2 separate regions of the Mus musculus genome follow, and region 2 is reported to be linked to region 1. The links are microRNA targets in miRTarBase. Many come from high-throughput screens and were not tested one by one. Region 1 holds a microRNA gene; the other region holds the end of a gene's coding sequence.

Region 1 (3,260 bases):
TTTTCATACCCCTACCCCCCAACAGGGCTGTCTGTCATAGGCTGCCGGCCAGGCTTTACCACTTGCCCCCGAGCGTGGGAATCGGAGCGTCCTGCCGTTCACATCTCCTGCTTTCCGTTTAGCGGAATCAATTAGGCAAGACAGACCCTCAGATTCCCCACCCCCTTTCCATTTTTGTCAGGTCTATATACGTCCTAATTATTTCAGTTTGGGATGCCAGAGCTGTTTCCTGGATAGACCTGATCATCCTTAAACAAAAAGAGAGGAGGCGCACACGTGGGTTGTGGCGTAAATGTCACTTTCATTTCCAATGCTAGGCGCAGAGTAAGACAGAACATTTTTTTAACACTTTGACAAGAGGGGAGGCGATCTCGTCTCCATCATGTCTTTCTGCTTCAGTAGCTTCCTCAAGGAAACCCTCTTGGAACAGAGAAGCATCTGTCCTTGTATTTTGAATAGAAGAATAAAAATCAGCCTTTGCCCCCACCCCTTTTCCCTGCTAGCTCTAAGTCTTCGGTAGATATAAATTATTAACCTTCCAGTATAAGCTTTACTGAAAGTCTAACTTCACAGAATTTGATGTACACACCCAAATACATAGAAAGTTTCCAGGCACAAGCTTCAAACTTGGGGGAGGGGCCTCAGATAGGAACAGCCCAAATCTACATAATTATGAAATCATTTTTAAGCGAGGTACCAGACATCACTATAACAGCTTTCTAAGAAAAAAAAAGAAAAAAAAAACCTCATATGTAAACGTTTGCTTCAAAATGAACAATATAGAAAATACATGCATCGTCACCCGTAAAAAACACTACACAATTCTCCTCTCCAGTTGTACAAGCCCCTCAAAGCCTGGCCCCTTTAGATTTCAATATGCGTGTCACTTAATTTTCTTGCATCCCACTTTCAATCATAAGATAAAAAAAGTTAGATTCAATAAGCATTCCTGACCTTTCTGGTTTTTACTGTCTCTTGGTTGCAGTCTTTCTTTCCGGAACGTTCCTCGGTGACCTTGAAGGAGTTTTTACTTTCGGTTATCTAGCTTTATGAAGACCAATACACTCATACAGCTAGATAACCAAAGATAACAACTCGCTTCCCTCACAAGGCTGCCTTCCTCTGGCTGAACTCCAGATCTCGATCCTCTTTGGCTTTAGGGAAGCGTAGTCCTCCGGGGTACTTGCCGCGTTTAAGCTTCTCCTTTCATGTAAACATGACCTGGTTTCTGTCTTAGTGTGTGCGGCTAGAACATCCAAATGAGATCTGTTGCATTCAGAGTTTATTCCAAACTTTTCCCCTTCCAGCAAGTAATCTCCAGTATCGTTAGCCAACAATTCATCTATGAGTATCAGAAATTAAGACCAGAGACTAAGGTGCAGCAAGCTGTTGGGGGTGAGCAGCAGTGTCCTTCTCTTCACAGGCCTCTATTTGCATTGTAAATTGCTTCATTCTCACGGAAGATTCTTTAGCCTTCCTCTACTGAGATGTATAAAGCCATCGGCAGTTTCCAACGCTGGTTAAAGAGGAAGAAGGGGGAAATCCCATTCTATAGAAGTGACAGCTGATTCAAAGATCTGCTCCGGATCATTGGGTTAGGCATCATGATCTTTTTTACCAAGTGCAGGCAGCTTGATTGCACATATCTTGTATGTGAATGTTTTAAGGGAGATCCTCGATTTCTTAGGACTTCTAGGCGGGCAGAGCATGCCCTCTTGCTGGCGTACTGCTGCCCCGGTCTGAAAGAAGGAGAAAAGGGCCATCATTGGAGGGGCTTTCACCGCCAAATTGTGGACCAGCCCGGCAAGGTCAAAGGTTTGAGACTGCGGGAGACCAAGGTAATGATGATGTCATGAGAAATCTCAAGTACATGGTTATTGATATGCATCAGTGGTCACCCAACTGCCCCACGCCTGCTGCCAGGAGTAGCACAGGCGACGGCGGCGGCGACGGCGGCAGCGGTGGCGGCGACGGCAGCAGCAGCTTTGCAGCAGTCCCTATATTCTCAATCAACATTTCATCCACTAGCACTACGGACTGCTCCTTGAAAAGCAACCCGCGGCCTTTTACCTCCTTGGCGCTAGTGTAGATCGCTCTAATATCCAAAGAATGGAGAAAATCTCTCTCTAAGGATAGATAAAAGCATTTCAGGTCTGGGGAACTTCTTTGCCTGCATTTCTCTTCTGGCAGATTGCATAGGCAGGCAGATGGAAGGCACTTTACTATTGCTTAAAGCAGGGCCTCGCTTTCTGGGGCTGGGAATCAGCTCTGTTTTTACGCAGTGAGTCGATGGTTACAATGACAATTTGCTTTGGTGTTATGTTTTTAATGGCTTTACAGCTCAGTCATGTTTTCTATCTGTGTACCGTGGCGATAGGGCAGCATATTTGTTCTGTAAGTTCGAACTGCACGATCTAAACAGTGGGGCTTCTTTTTTAAAAATGCTTTGCATATAGAGTGTGTGTGGGGGTTAGCATGCTGCACAGGTAAACATTGCAGCAATAGTTTCAATGTTGTACACAACTCTGCTGTAGCAAAAATGCTGAGCCTTTGTCTACTGTTTTAACATAAATTTCACACTGGACAATAATGCACTAGACTTGCTTATAAAATTAAAATAAAAGTCTTGTCTCCTGAACATGTAGATCCAACACCTGGATGGGGAGGGAGGGAAGCTACCACACCTCCCTGGCCCCACCCACTCATATCCTTCTATCGAGAAGCAGAAGGTCATTTCATTAATTAATTAGCTTCATTCATTGTCTTAGGAGTTTTTAAAGTGTGACTTTAAAATCACTTCAAAGAATCCTTTTCTTTCTCATCCTTTATAATAGATAATCTGTCTAGCACATCTAATATCTAACATTCAAATCCCTCTCAACAAAATATTCATGGTAATCTACATAAGAAGCATGTTCTCTGTGGGTAAACATTATGGATTATTGTTCAAATTACTAATTATTTTTTAGTAATGTTGCTTTTCTTTAAGTTACATGCTAAAGGAGAATTAGTAATTCTAAATGTACATTGCACACATCACCTGTGCCTCACAATGCTCTCAATTCCATAATGTGTCTATTTTCCCCAGTGGCTAAAATACTTTTGGATTTATTAATTTTTTTGGAATAAAATTTTTCTCAGTAATTCACTAATTTATTCATTTAACACATAAATAAGAACCTGGTTATTTAATCACATACAGAGCCCTAAAATCTAAACTCTGTAAAGAAGAGACTGACAAGTTTTTTTTGTTTGTTTGT
Region 2 (3,260 bases), not on the chromosome of region 1:
CATAATAAATCTTCCATTTCAACTCAATGTTTACAAGCTGAGCCGTGAATCCACAGAAGAGACGGTGCTTCATGAGTAGTGAGATGCGAGGTGTCTTCTCTGACATAAATGACTGCACTCTCTCAAATGGTAAACCAGAGTAAGTTCTTCAGGCAGTTTCCCATCTCTAGATGCAGGAGGGAGCCCCATATGTAATATGCCAAGTGGAAAAGGAGCCACACTTCCTGATTACCCTTCCGGCCAGCTGTGCCCCTCAGGTGAGTGGTGTACCCAGGGCAGCGCCTGCAGCCTAGCTGCCAGCTGCAACCCCAAACCCTGTGGTTGGCTCACCTGTGATGCACCTGGGAAGCCCACATGTCGACCAGTAATGGGTAAGGCACACACTGAGTCAGATCTTAACAGCAGTCCAAACAACGTACTAAAGAATGCAGCAATCCTCCCTGTCACTTTCTGCTACTGTGGATCTTGAGAACGAATGTGGTGCCCATGGATGCTAGGCACACGCCCTGCTCCTGAACTATGGCACAAGCCCTGACAGAACTATTTCTAAATTACCTGTAACAGAAACCAAATTTAGTCTTTGAGACAGAATCTCATCATGTAGAAGCACGGTTACCCACAGTAGTGCAAACCCATACAGCTCGGGCCAGGTAGGAATCAAACTAAGATTGGGCCTCTGCCCAAGCAGAGCAGAAGCATGGTACAACAGAGCACTGGGCAGATAGGAGCTTGGGTTATGCCCCTCATGCCTGCACCAGCGTACGTTGTCCACTCTGACTGTCGTGATGCTTTGACTGGGTCCTGTCTGTCAAGAACTTGCTCACTTCATACTTCCATTGCTTTGGGCTTTGTTTTTAGGGGGGAGGGAGTTGGGGGATAAGGCAGGGTTGCTCTATGTATTCCTGACTGTCCTGGAACTCACTCTGTAACCTAGACTAGCCTCTAATTCACAGAGATCCACCTGCCTCTGGCTCCAAGTGCTGGGACAGAAAGGCACCTGTAGTCTTGAAAAGCTCACAGGGCCACGGCCTAGCATCAGTGAAACAGAAGGTCATAGATCTCACATCTTAGCCCCTAGCCTATGTTGCTATCATGGGTGGTGCCATGAAGTTTGCAGGAAGTCAGTCCCTTCCCACGCTGACTCCCCGTGTTCTGAACCTTCTCCTGACCTATTAGAGAGGGACTGGGAAAAAGGTATCATCACCCAGGCTGGGGCCTGGTGAGGGAGGCGGACTGCGGGGTGTAGTCCAGGACAGGAGAACAGCTGACTCCTTCAATGCCACACTCAAGACCCCATTGCATTGTTTATTCCATAACCAGTTACTTTGGGGATGGATACCCAAGGCATATAGACTGAAAGCAAAAAAAAAAAAAAAATCATAATTTATAGTAGTGGTTCTCAACCTTCCTATGCTGTGACCCTTTAATAGTTTCTTCTGTTCTGGTGACCCCCCCAACAATTATAAAATTATTCTGTTGCTACTTCATAACTGTAGTATTGCTACTGTTATGAATTATAATGTAAATATCTGATATGTGACCCCTTTGTGGGGACACAGCCCACAAGTTGAGAACCACTGGTTTACAATAACATATCCAGTTACACTCCTAGACAGACTCACAGGAAGACCAAGACATGAGGCATGTGGGACTGTGATAGAGCTGACAGTACTAAGGGTCAAGGCAGTCACACACTGAGCAAAATTCAGGGGCTTCATCAAACCCCTTTATCTCCTGGGTGGACTCTATCTAGTATGTGTCACATGATTTTGTGAATTTCACCATCGGGCAGCTATTTCTGTGTGTGGACATACTGTTTCCCCTAAGGCATGCTCGCATTAGCATAGTGAGGGCTGAAGGGATGCTATCCCAGACCAGTGGGCTTTGTGGAGGAGAGGAGGTGCTCCAGGCCTATTTGTATGAAAAGGCACTGGGGAGGAGTTTAGAGGAGGCTGGACATTACAAAGCTGGTTCACCCATTCCAGGGTCCACGGAGCCTCAGCTCTGTCTTCCGGCCCCACAGCAGTAACTATGAGCTGCACCACCCTTAGAACCCCAAAGCCTAGGTGGGCCACCCTCTTAATTCTCTACTTGTTTATTTTTAAATATACATTGCATCAAATGCAGGGTGTGATGCATGCCATTCTCAGCAGCCTTTCTTCTGAGGTGAGTCCAGCTCAACGCTGATGGCAGGTCAAGTAAAAGAATGACTCAGGCACACCAGTGGCCCAGGGCTGTAATGACTGCCGGCCTTCAAGGACTATAAAAAATATGGCTCACTGTTACTATGACTTAAAACTAGTGTAATTTTCTTTACGGTTATTTTCGGGGTGTGGTCTCGGTGGTACATATGCATGCCATGTGCCTGTGTGAAAGTCAGAGGATAGCTTGTAGGCGTTGGTCTCTCCTTCCACCATGTGGGCTCCATGGATCAAACTAATGGTGGTACCAATAAGCCATCTTGCTGGCCCTAGAATTCAAAATTATTTTTAAAAAAATGTATACAAATGAAAGAGCCAAATTGGGCCAGAAGACTGGGCCTCTCTGAAGGCCATAGTTATCCACTGTACAGCAGCCTGGCCTTCCTGATGCCTCCATTTCTGCAGCAATAATCTTAGGCTCGTGGATCACAACCCCTGGGTCTTGGTTCTCTAAAAACACATCTTGATTTTTTTTTTTAAACCTGCAAATCAGGGATCTGTCCCTGGCCTCTTTGGGATCTTTCTCACAATCTTGGGATGAAAGGCTACGCAGAGAGGGAAAATACCTCTCCCATGTGCAAACATTCCACTCCCTCACACACTACAAAGATAGCACCACATGAAAACTGTGTCCTGAAGCGCTGGCAAAGCTGTAGGGACCTGTTGTTCCTTGAAGCACCCACCACTCTCCACTCAGAGCTGTCCCCTCCTGCCCTTCAGGCTTTGTCACCACTTGATATCCAGGCCGTCTGTGCAGGGCTCCAAGCTCTGGTAGCTGGTGTGCAGCACCTCCTGGACTTTGGGAGATTCAGTACCCTCCAGCCACTCCTGGTACAACTCCTGCACATGTGTACTGCTCTCTGGGGGCCGCACAGGGATGCCGGAGTAGATCCCTTCCATTTGCTGCAGCAGTGCACGATCTGTGTGGCCGTCCTCTGTCTGTGCTTGGCCTCTGCCATTTAAGCAACCTGAAAGATACACACAAGTGGACCTCTTCTTCCCTCTTGGCCTGTCATGGGAGCTTTACCTCAGGGCACATAGCTGGAAGCAGGAAAAGCA

The links. The annotated mature microRNA mmu-miR-9-5p reads UCUUUGGUUAUCUAGCUGUAUGA and lies in region 1 at 1,066-1,088, opposite strand. An mRNA with a match to its seed (bases 2 to 7 or 8) in the 3' UTR can be bound and repressed. Matches are read on the target gene's strand: a 7mer-m8 pairs with bases 2 to 8, a 7mer-A1 pairs with bases 2 to 7 and ends in A, and an 8mer does both.
Region 2: the mRNA of Narf is a reported target of mmu-miR-9-5p. Seed matches in the 3' UTR shown: 7mer-A1 at 2,711-2,717.

What each region holds. Positions count from the first base shown.
Region 1 is chr13:83,736,649-83,739,908 of GRCm38, reverse strand. It overlaps Mir9-2 (microRNA 9-2), which reads right to left and starts at 1,095; the gene lies at 1,024-1,095. It overlaps C130071C03Rik (RIKEN cDNA C130071C03 gene), which reads right to left. Exons shown (of 4, transcript NR_152245.1): 4 at 1-1,739. It overlaps Gm51268 (predicted gene, 51268), which reads left to right and starts at 1,033; the gene lies at 1,033-1,088.
Region 2 is chr11:121,252,590-121,255,849 of GRCm38, reverse strand. Narf (nuclear prelamin A recognition factor) reads right to left here. Exons shown (of 11, transcript NM_026272.3): 11 at 1-3,169. The coding sequence ends at 2,928. Among named protein-coding and RNA genes, the nearest start is that of Foxk2, 5.8 kb to the left of the region's middle.